3 linked regions of the Coturnix japonica genome follow. The protein of the gene in region 1 interacts with the protein of each later gene in a pairwise test. Links are inferred from orthologs where the notes say so. Each region holds a gene or a part of one and is shown on either strand. Other genes may lie near its edges.

Region 1 (3,500 bases):
TTTCTTTTGAACTGTCATTTTGTAAACAAAACCTCACATTAAAGGTTAAAAATATATTCTTCAGCATCCTGTATCTTTCCCCATAGTGGGATATGGCACTCAGCAATTGATGGCACTTTTCAGATCGCTCTGTGATTGCTCTGAAGAGCCTTCAGCCTCTATAATAAACAGCTATTGGTGACTGAGGCAGCAAGACAGAATAATCAGTCACAGTAAATCACAGCTTACTCATGTGTTCAGATCAATTAATAACAAATGTTGGTCAAAACAAAACAGTAGAAAATGAATATATTTTTCTTCACTATCTTCTTGAACTGAATGTATGGGGATTTGCAAACTAAGAAAGCTAGACTATGGTGAAAAAAAGCCAGACATTGACTATAAGCAGATTTCGCCACTACTTTGCTAGAGAAATAAGCTTAAATGCTATGACATTTATTTACCTTTAGGCATCCAAAAAAGCCTCTCAGAGAACTGGAGCCTGATTTACTCTGATTATTGGTAAATAATCCGGACAAACTTACCCCAATCTCTTTCAAATCTTTATCCTGCAATAACTGTAGGGGATCAATGAAATTTTGTTTGACATTAATATCAAGCGAGTCCTTCACTTCAGCCAATTGTTTCATGCTTTCACCAGCATCCAGCAGCGCAAGGCCTATGGTAAAGAATATGCTGCTTATATCTCAGTAAGCATGAGACAACAAATGCATCTTATAATAAAACTCAAGTGGGCAACTGTGCATTTGCTGTAGCCCTTGGAAAATAAAAAAAATAAAAATAAAAATAAAAATGCACTTGCTTTTCTCCTGCAGAAAATTAGTACTGGAAAATTCTGCTCCAAAACATACCCTGTGTTCCTCTCCCCCATCTCCCCTTAAGCCCTTCAGGAAAAACAAACAAAAACCACGTCTTATAATACAGTTCTTTCAAGGAGGTATATTTGTATCTGCTGTAGGCCTTCGGAAAGTAACTGCCTTTCCCTCTCCCCCCTCCACCTCCTCGAGAAAATCTTTACTTCTCAGATATAGGAAAACCATTTTTATTTAAAGGTACTTAAAAAAATACATTGCATCTACGGATTGCTCTGGATTATTCCTTGGCAACTTAGAAACAAGATATTTGTTTTTATAATAGGAACCATGAAACAGAATTAGTTACACCTGCAACAGAGATGGACAAATACACAGAAGCATTGGGTATTACTGTATCAGTCACTCCCTAACCCCTGTACATAGCTTGCTCTCTTACCTGGATTAGCTATTTACACAGGTTACGTCACTGAGTAATATTCTGTGAAGAACTTTATATGGAAATATTCTCAAAGGAGGTACACAAACTCACCAAACATAGAATCATCGCCAAGCTCTCTGCCATACCGTATCATGCAGTCTCCTAGGAGTCCTTCTGTCTGAGGATAGCCTGTGGTTTTAACTTGTCCTCTGATCTTTGACATAGTGTTCAGCATTCCCAGCTTGGCTCTGTATGCTAAAAAGGACATGAACATGAAGAAGAACAAGAGTTATAAAAACAAGTTTTAAATTATTCAAAGCAATAAATCATTTAACAAGCAATCTCACAAAGCAAATCACTAAGCTGGTTTGTAGATCCACGAGTCTTTTGTTGACAGTATTTAATAGTCAAAAGTAGATCTCATTCAACAGTAAGGGTCATATGAAATTGCTTTGTTCCCAACTGGATGGGCAGCATTTCTCCAGACAGACACACAGGGGTAATGCCTGCCACCTCTTGCGGATATTCACCAACATTCACATTCCCCTGGGTATTTCTGTTTGTGAAGTCTATTAAAAACAGTGCAAATAGCAAACACAGTATGGGCTCCTGTAAGTACAGCCAATGCCAGTTTCACACTCCTGCTTATGAGGACTTTGTAGGACTTCTTTTCCCCACTGTTTTAGTGGTCCCAATACTCAAGACAGAGGGTTTTTTGTTTGTTTTTTTTTCTATTTTTGCAGAAAAGACAGATGCATGCAAATCAATTTATTTTGGTGCTGATCATATCACGACAAAACCACGCAGTTATTCTTGGAATGTTTTCCAGTCTACTCCTACTATCAACTCAACAGCTTCTTTGACATAGTAATAGCCAACATTAGGACATATCCTAAAAAATGTGAGCCATGGATGGTGACAAACTGCATCTTGAATACCCTTAGCTGGGCTTTGCTGAAGTGCTGAATATTCTCATCCTGTAGTAGGCACAACCCATTAGTTGCTTCTCCTGTAGGCATTAGCAACATATTGAACTTCTCTGGTGATGTGCATCTTGTGAGGCACCCAGTACAAACAGCTATCTCTGAATTCATCACATTCAGCAGACTAAACATGAATCCAGTCAGACAGTTCTAAAAAAATGAAGGCTCTTCCAGCAGATGGTTTGGACAGTAATTCCAACTCTTAACAGATCATCTTTGTGATCAAGAGTAGATGTAAATATGCCTTCTTTCCTTTTCTCAAACCAAAATTTTAGAAGCCTGTTAACTGACTACCAAAAATCCACTCAGACCTTACAGTGTCCAGGAAAAGCAAAGCTTCACTCAGACACTGGGTAGGCAAGTAACAGCCCTGCTCCCCATGGCTACATAACCAGCAGTACCCCTGATGGCAGCAGTGCACAAGTTAAATTCAAGGACATTCTCTTCACTTTAGGGATCCATATCCCACTGCAGGAAATGCAGCACAAATAGGTACACCAGTGCCGTTACCATCCCAGGCCATCCAATACATGTCATGCACATACAACCTACACGTGCCCAGTAAGTCCCATGCAATGTGTGTTCCAAACTGAACACATCCAAGGATGCATGTATACTTTATAGCTTCATTGTACAGTACAGTTCTTTGTGCACACAGGTGAGGCACTCTAGGACATCCAGAAGCCTCACAATAATGACCCAATCAGCCTTTATCTACTTAGGATGAAATTCAGAGTAAGAAGATAATTTTCAACAAAATTTGACCCCTATTGTTACTAGTTTACCTGGATTTGGCTGAAGATACTCCGTGGATTTTGACAGAAGCTCTGCTACAGCTTTATTTGTAACATCAATTTTCTGAAAAAGAAAAGTGGCATAGTTAGTAGAAGCAAATCTATTATTAGAAATGTATAGTTTGATTAAATATCCTATTCTAACTGCTTATGAAAATATATTTAAAATAAAGCAAATCTGGCAGCTTAAAATAAATGGCTGTTTACATGTTTGCAACCAGACTGCACCAAAAATAAGTGAATTGGCAGTTAGCACTCGGAAGGAAAGGTTTCTATTAAAACAGGGGGAACTTCTTATCTTTCAGGTTCATCAGTCCTGAATGCTGCTTATGTATTGCAGACTACACTTCTCCTGCCAGCCCAACAGTTGTTACTATGACTGTTTTTCTCACCAGGTGAAAAAGATCAAAAATATCCCAAATTACAGCCTTGGGGTCAGGGCCATTTAAACCATTTACACTATTATCCCATTTATGTTTTTAAACGCTAT
Region 2 (4,239 bases), on another chromosome or scaffold:
AAAAGCATTAAAAAAAAACCTTTTGAAATCTTGACTTACAATCTTAAGACATAGATAACTTTAAGAATCTTAAAAGAAAAATGTATACCTCTTCTTGCGTAATTGGTATCCATATCCTTAAAATGCACCATAACAAAATCTGAAGACTTGAATAAAATACTTTCTAGTATGTCTTCACGTTTTGGCCCCAAACTGGATTCTGCAGTTTTCCGATGAGCAGCATCAAGCACTAAATCACACTAGTAAAGATAAAAAGAATATCCTAATTGGATACACCACACACTACTGGTAACTCACATCCTTGAAAAAAAAGCACACATTTACAGAAATTTGCAAAAGTGAATCTGCATGTGTAAAATTTGACATGGATCAGTCAGAATAATTGATAATAAATATTCCAACTTAATTAAGAATTGATTATACTGTATTAGTACCTTTCAAAAGAGGGAAGAGTCAAAAAGGAAAAAAAAGCCTTTACCTTAGGACTGTAGGTTTTAAAAACTCCTTCATATATACCACCATTTTTCACCTGTACTTCACATTTGGATCCCTAGAATGCAAGAAAAATCCAAGTGTAGCACTCTGTCAAGCCTGACAAATGACACAAGTGATTTTCTCAAAGAATATATATTTACAGAAGCACAATGGGTAAAAACAGAGCTTAGCTTTCAGCTGAATCTACTTTTTCAACATTCGCCCATTTACAAATATGTCTCTGCATGCCACAGATACAAACACTTTGGTATGTCCCAGACTTTATTAAAGATCCTCACGGAAGTATTTTCAGCACACACAAGACTTTTGATTAGCTATGCATGCATGCAAACAAGTCTCTGTGCAAAAACAAATCCATGCATATGCACAGGTACAGGTAAGGTTAAGTTTTATCCCAGATTCCAGCTGCCATGGGACGGTCCGTATCACCAAGTTTTTAACACAAGGGATGAAGGGTTTCTATTCCCTATATATAAATTCATTGCTTATTCATAATCTCTCTGGAGACAGAAAATTCAAAACACGACCAATGAGCGTAAGAAATCTGCCATCCCAAATATAATCTGCAGTTTTCCAAGCCAAAAATACACAATAGCTATTACTATGACTGTTTAAATTTCAATCTTGGAACAAGATGCCCACTGCTGAACTTTAATATTCACTCCATTATATTACAATTAGTGTAATATTTAACAATTCTCTGTCACTATAGAAACTGTTTACACGCCTTGCAAATATGAAGACTTACAACAACTGATGTAAGTATGTGAACCATTCTCATGTTTGCATAGATGCCATCAAAAGAAATCTGAAAAAAAAAAATATAATAATGAAGTTGTCATTTTTATGGGAAACACTCATAATTCAGAAAGGCAATGAGACAAGAACAAAGTCAGCTCTCAGCAGTAAATAGTAGCTGCTAGAAAGACAATGGTCAAAAAACCTTACTTGGTCAGTATACATTGAATTTAAGTCACAGCAAATGCCCAGAGGATTCTACCCTTTCTCTGATCGATTAAATATCAGATCACCCTTAAAAACATGAGAAACCTTACAGTGTGCCTCAACCCAATGTAAACTGGGGTAGAACTCACATACCAAGTCTCACAACTGGGAAGCCCTGCTAGCAGCCCTCCCTGGGAACAGGAACAAGGCACCTCAACTGCTGCAGTAGGAGAAATGTTCCCTGAACTACATCTTTGCAGCAAACAGACTTGATAACATGCACTAACAGGAGATGAAGTCATCAAGTTGTGAACTGCTAAAGAGCTACAAGGCCTATTATAAAACTAGTCAAAAAACATTCACCACAGTTCTAGAACATGGGAACCAATGCGTTTAAGGATGGTCCTGTGCTCAACACTCAGTAAGCCTAACATACAGAAAGCCTAACACTTCCTACTTGTGCATCACCTTTTTCACTGCTCTCCCTCATAGCCTCTTTATTTTTACTGAAGAGACTCATTATCTTCAATATACACTTACAGAGGTAAACTGTAGTCCTTTCAGCCCTTCCTACTCCTGCCCCATTCCCTAGAATTAGTCATCCTTGAGAATCAAGCCACTACCAAATTAGCAAATATTTGATTAGTGCAGTTCAAAGATCCGTTTTTTAAATCAAGACCCAGATCTTCACCTTCCACAAAACATTCTACAAACCAAGTTACATCTAGAGTGCAACAGTGTTTTAGCCTCGACAATAACTAAAGCTACAAACACAGGTAACAGAGGCTTAGCTACAATAACATTGGGTTAGCTATTTTGTAGTAAAGCTGAACACAATTGCTACTTCACTTTAACATAGTGTTGTCTCACCATCTTCAGTCCTCTGTTTAAAGAAGTCAGTATAGAGAGTTTCCACAGAGGCAACACTTTTGAATCTGTTCCCAAGTTAAATTTTATCCATGTATTTGCAATTATAATCACAAGAAAGATTTTTATTGGCATGTTTCAAACGTGTAAGAGTTCCTTCTCTCCCCGTTCTCCCAGGAGACTTAGATCATAGAATCAGAGACTGAGATGAATGCAAGATATTCTACATTTAAAAAAAAAAAAGTCTAAAATACTCATTGAGGTATCAAAAGGAAAAAAAAATTATGAGTATTCCACAATGTGCCATTTTCACACTGCTAAGAAAGGTCATCAGAAAAGATGTTTCCTTGTATCTAAAGAGGAAACAACAAGGAAAAAATACTCACTGTGGGCTGAGGAGGTCCTTTGCCACTGCTGCGACCTCTGAAAGAAAACACAGACAAAAGAAACAATTAAGAAATGTTGAAAAGGATTGATTTCTTAACAAATAAGAATTCAAAAACCCAATTTAACTTTGTGCTGAGAATGAGAGCAAAGAGAGCTCAAACTTAGCAGTAACGGAGCCTATAGCATCTATCCCTCAAATTACTGACCTACAAGCAATATCAGTAAATGGGTAAAAAGGTTACCTACAATAAATGGCAAAACAAAGAAAATACTAATGCTGTGTCATTACAAAAATCCAAAAATATTCTCTCTCAAGTAGAGTCCTGTAGCTAAGGGAAGTTCCAAAACCTATTGGTGCAGAGAACCTAAACTGCTTCACTGCACTTCCAGGCAATTTTTGCAGCCAATTCTCTAGGCCTGGTTTCTCCACACTGCCACCATCCTTCTCTGTTGAGGGTCACCCAAACAGCTGCCCACAAGGCCCAGTTCTCAGTCTCTACTTACAGCTTATGTGCTTGTAAGAGAGCACCAGCCACACACAGCCCCTTAAAACCAGTAACCACACACAAATCAGTGAACACATAACAACCTCAACACTTCAAAATGCCTTTAAATTAACTCGTAGACTCTTAATGCTCTGCAAACTGAGATGTAACAGTCTGTCCCTTTCAACTCAGCCCTAGAAGTGCCAACAACATCCCTGCAGCTGCCATAAAACCTCAGGCTGCCTGGTGTGCTTCATGTCCTCACATCCAAGCTCCCTCTGTACAAGAAGCAGCCCCAGTTCCAACCACTTTTTTGTAGTGATTAAGGTTTGTACAACAATAGGAAGCCCCACTTTCAAATCTTTCTTGTGATGACTGAGATTTGTATCACAATGACGACCTTAAGAGTGCACCCAACGAGAGTAAGGCAAAATGAAGTCTTCAATTTTATTTACGAAAACATCCATTTTTGCAACTGACTCACCTTCCAGATGCACATCCATTTGATCAGAGACCCAAAGAATCATGTTCATGTTTCAAAACAGTCAAACAATGCTGAAACCTAAACATCAAATGTGTTCAAATGCGTCTGAAAGCACTGTGCTGTAGCTGAAGGCAGCTGTGCTCCAAACCATGCCCTTATTATGAGCAGGACTCACAAGCTGGCCAAGGAATTCTCATGAGCACAAATTCTGCAGAAATCAGCAAGTCCATCGGAGGAGCAGAAATGTCCATAGCAAGGAAAAAACAAAACCAAAGCCCCACTGACCTATCACCTGAGCAGTTGGAGAAAGCAAGATTCTGAGCCCAGTGTGCCATCCTGTACAGCATCGCTCCCACCGATGACATTTGCTGATTGGTAATAAATGCAGACTTCAGATGTCAAGCTGACATTTTCAGGATACTTGCAGAGTTCTAATTTCATACATACCAAAAAAATTCTAAACCAAATAGCCTGTATTTAATTACCTATAAGCCTTGGCTTTCTAGAAGACAAGTCACAACTTTTGGCTCGTCCTGGTGACCAGCAAGTCTTACCATTGAGTAAGGCTGCCATTTA
Region 3 (4,082 bases), on another chromosome or scaffold:
GATGATTCCTTTGGGGAGTGAAAGAAGACTATGACATCAGCAGCAGCCATGACAACCTGCAGCTGCCCGAAGCTTCCCTTAAAGTCATACGGTATCTTTTTATGCACTAAGAAAATCGCACTTTAAGAATCTTTAAATCCACTTTCATTGCCTTTCTGTTTGACAAACCTCACACTCACACACACGAGACAAGGAAATATTTCTCATTTTCTATAGAAAACTTGGGGGCACGGTCTACAAAGACTGCAAACATTTATTGTTTGGACCTACATGCCATTCAGATTCTACATTGGAGGCAATGATAAAGGCTGGCAGTTATTTGCCTTTTCAAAGGCAGCCTGCTCAACAGATGCCTTTAACAAGTACGGGTCAAATCTCCAGCTTAGGAGCTAGTTTAGAGTCACTCCTACATCAGTGTGCTGTGTACTGTGGTACACTACTGAAGAATCAAAGCTCTCAATATAGGTGGAGGGGATGAAAAAGAGGAAAGTACAAAAATGGAACAGATTATTCTGTATTTTATTTCCAATAAAAATTTAGATCCTGGATGGATACAGCATCTGAAAAACACAACAACAGAATCACGTTAGAATTCCTGTTATTGGACTGTACAAGTCAGCAAATTTATAGCTATCATCTGAATCATGGATCTCTTCAACTATTTTAAGTGACTCCCATTTATGCAGAAAAGGGGCAGGAAAGTCTAACAAGGAGCTGAGTGACGTGAAGCAGCATCTGATGGTATCAAAGCTCCCACCCAGCAGTCACTCTCCTGCTCAGCCTTCCCATGCCTACTTTGAGGACTCTGCCATGCAGCTCATGCAGTTATATGGGGAGTAAGAGAAGTTGATGCCGCAGCTCCCTTGCCACTAGGTAGGAAATGAGGCAGAGTACAAAAAGCAATGGTGCAAGATGAGATTACGAGGCAGCCCAAAGGCTGACAAGGAGCCCCTGGTTCCTAATGCTGCTCACCACTCGGATCCTGTGTCCGATGGCCTTGGCGGGGAGGTTGGAGCGGAACTTGGCACGAACCATCCCGCTGTTCCCATGGGCGCGGGTCACCTTCCCCCAGATCACCCGCGTCCTGTTGGGTTTCCCACCGGGGGTGACGGTGTTGCTGAGGGAACAAAAAGACACAGAACTCAGTGTGTTTCCTTTGGAATGAACCTGGAGTATCTTAACGTAGGATTTCTCCAGTCACACCACAGGCACAAAGGGCCTCAGGCATCGAGACAGGCAGCAGCTACAAGAAGCCACGTGCCACCCTTGAAATGACAGCAGTGATGAACAGCCTGACAAATTTATTACAGGGAATTCCACATCTGACATCAGAACAACCACTCTCAAAGAAAAATCAAGCAGAAGACAATAAACAATTGTTCTTAAAGCCTCTACCACTGCAGGCACAGCAGAGCTGTGACACACACACACAAGGGCTGCTCTATCAACTTCTTTTTGCCTGGCAAAATATTCCACCTCTAAGGATCTCAAAAACTCAATGATCACCACAAACTCATCTCGCTTCAATTTGCTGCCAACCAACTGACTGCTCACATCCCGGCATTTGCAAAAGATAATAAAAGACGACCAACTTACTTCTTAGCTTTGTAGACATAGGCACATCTCTTGCCTAAGTAGAACTCTGTCTCCTGGCGAGCGTAAACACCTTCAATTTTCAGCAGGGCAGTGTGCTCCCGCTGGTTCCGGAGGCCACGTTTGTAGCCAGCAAAAGTGGCCTTGCACCACAACCTAAAGACATGGAGAAAGAACAGATTAACTCAGTTTAACACATTAAACTTTGGTTGGAAGGGACCTCAAAGCCCACCGTGTACCATGGGCTGGATGCCTCCACCAGCTCAAGCTGCCCAGGGCCCATCCAACTTGGCCTTGGGCACCTGCAGGGAGGGGGCACCCACAGCTTTGGGTAGCACTGCTGGTTCCTCAATGCTTAATGAGTATAAAAACATCTTCACATCTCACAGAAATCTATTAGGCCATGTAAGAAGTTGGTCCCCCCTTCTGTTTCTATGTTCCCTTCAAGGCTGAACTGCTACAGCCAGCTGAAGACAGGGGTTTCAAGAGAGCAACACAAACGTAGCGATGTAACACACACACACAGAGATCGCCCTGTGTGTGCACCGGGCAGCGCCGTGCTGGGACAGCAGAGACTCAGCGGTGCCGTCAGCACAGCGCAGCTCCCCATCCAGCCGTACAGACACAGGCAGACACTCACCTCCCGGTCATGGCGTCCTCGTGCAGCGCAGTCCCGGCAGCTCAGCCTACAAACAACACACCCCGCTCAGTGCCCACAGCCCGACAAGGCCTCAGCACCGCGGGCTGCAGCGGGCCGGCTCCGGCTCCTCACAGCGCAAGGCCCCGCCGGCACCTCAGCTCCCTTCAGCCCCAGAGCCGACACCATCCGCCGTGTATCGGCGCCATCCCGCCCGCTCCACACCCGACACCCCGCCATCCGCCCCGCCCCGGTGTCCCCGCCGCCGCCGGGATGGTCATTGCCCGACACAACGCCCGACACAACGCCCGACACAACACCCCGCCCGCCGCACCCCGCTCACCAGCACGGCGCGCAGCCAAGATGGCGGCCAAAGGACGAGGCGGCGCGCGGCCCGCCGGGATTGCGGCTCTAAGGGCCCCGGCTGCGGGCTGCCCGTGTCACAGCCTGAGCGCACACGGTACGGGCCGACACAGCGCTGGGTGTGCACCGATATCGGTGCCTTTTGTCGTCCCTCGCCATGTCCGTGAGTCCCGTTACTCCTCCGGGCGGCGATGAGGGAACAGGCCTCGGCACCCGCAGGGACAGCCCCGCCAGGACCCCGGGCGCCATGGAGACGGCGTCGCGTTGAGCGCCGCGGAACGGTACTGAGCGGTGAGGGAGAGGGGTGGGCTTTGGTTTAGTGTTACTAACACCATCCCACCTCTATTCCTCTTTATTCCTCTTTACAAGAGCACAGGCACTAAAGAAATGGAGAAGCTCCCTCGGCTGGAAGCTCTGCTGCTCACTGCTGTGCTGGAGAATTGCATCGATCAGCTCGCCATCCTCGGGTACATCATGCCGGTTTCACAGGAGGGCAAGGCAGATGTCAGCAGTGTATGTGCCTCTGTGTTTGCTCTCATTTTTCTCAATGCCTTTTATGTCTTCTGTCAGCATTCTATAAGTCTCCACACAGGTACTTGTCTCTTTGGCATGGCTGTGTGAAGGACCCTGGTGACATAAGATGAGCTTCTGAGGCTTCATTCTACAACCTCAGTGGTCAGATGATAAGTAAAGGATCAGGGGAAAATAAACAACAGATGGCTGACGTCTCCTAAGTGCACAGCTTTATAAATAATAAAGAACAGGGACTTTGATAATACCCCAAATCAGGGTCATTCTGATACTCTATAAGCACACACTGAAGCTCCTCTAGTCCCCACAGACAACAAAATAAGACAGATTTCCCTTCAAAAATCTATTAGTAACTACTCATTATTAATGCCCGTTATTAATGAGTTGATTTCTAATAGACACCGTAACTAAGTGGTTCTGGGGAGAGGCATAAAGTAGAGCAGAAGCTGCTCGACATAACTGTAGTGCTCGATCAATGCTCCGGCTGCGCTATAGAGGGCACTGCTCTCCTTAGAGAGCACCCTGAGCCCGTCTCACCTGTTGGCCGAGGATGCTTTTCTCCCACAGATGGGGCTGTGAAAGCTCCGCTGTGCCAGCTGATCTGATACAGCAGATCCCGAGAATGGTGGGCGCAGTTCTCCTTCTCCCTCACACACACTGAGGCTGACAGACCTCCTAGAGGTACACTTGGTTTTTCTCTTCAAACACAGAGGCTCGTTTTTACTAAGTAGTTTATTTCTTAAGACACAACTTTCCCATGGAGTACAATCCTCAAATCAAGGAGGAAGCAGTTTAGAAACCAGAAAATGGCTCTGGAGAAGCCAACTTTTAGAGCCTCAGTCACTGTGTTGCTTGTTCCTAAATCAGGGACTCTTGTAGACTGCTTCATGCAGTGCATTCCCCAGAGAAGGCAGCCCTTCTGTCTGCTAAATTTAGGGCAAAAGACCAGCAAAGATAA

Evidence for each region.
Region 2: the proteins of SH3GL3 (region 1) and ATXN2 interact in binary tests that used the Homo sapiens proteins (3 or more experiments, as listed by UniProt). The link is inferred for Coturnix japonica from reciprocal best matches to the Homo sapiens genes SH3GL3 and ATXN2.
Region 3: the proteins of SH3GL3 (region 1) and RPL35A interact in a two-hybrid assay, tested with the Homo sapiens proteins (2 studies listed by BioGRID and IntAct). The link is inferred for Coturnix japonica from reciprocal best matches to the Homo sapiens genes SH3GL3 and RPL35A.

What each region holds. Positions count from the first base shown.
Region 1 is NC_029525.1:10,189,253-10,192,752, reverse strand, and holds part of SH3GL3 (endophilin-A3), read right to left. Parts: intron 3,075-3,500; coding exon 3,002-3,074; intron 1,489-3,001; coding exon 1,345-1,488; intron 659-1,344; coding exon 525-658; intron 1-524. UniProt on the Homo sapiens protein: Implicated in endocytosis. May recruit other proteins to membranes with high curvature.
Region 2 is NC_029530.1:5,336,603-5,340,841, forward strand, and holds the start of ATXN2 (ataxin-2), read right to left. Parts: upstream 2,801-4,239; 5' UTR 2,694-2,800; intron 1,304-2,693; 5' UTR 1,277-1,303; coding exon 1,244-1,276; intron 551-1,243; coding exon 479-550; intron 240-478; coding exon 89-239; intron 1-88. UniProt on the Homo sapiens protein: Involved in EGFR trafficking, acting as negative regulator of endocytic EGFR internalization at the plasma membrane.
Region 3 is NC_029524.1:13,176,445-13,180,526, reverse strand, and holds RPL35A (60S ribosomal protein L35a), read right to left. Parts: upstream 2,684-4,082; 5' UTR 2,574-2,683; intron 2,280-2,573; 5' UTR 2,245-2,279; coding exon 2,234-2,244; intron 1,750-2,233; coding exon 1,597-1,749; intron 1,118-1,596; coding exon 973-1,117; intron 561-972; coding exon 537-560; 3' UTR 501-536; downstream 1-500. Other genes in the region: IQCG (dynein regulatory complex protein 9), read left to right, coding at 2,785-2,874, 2,963-3,106.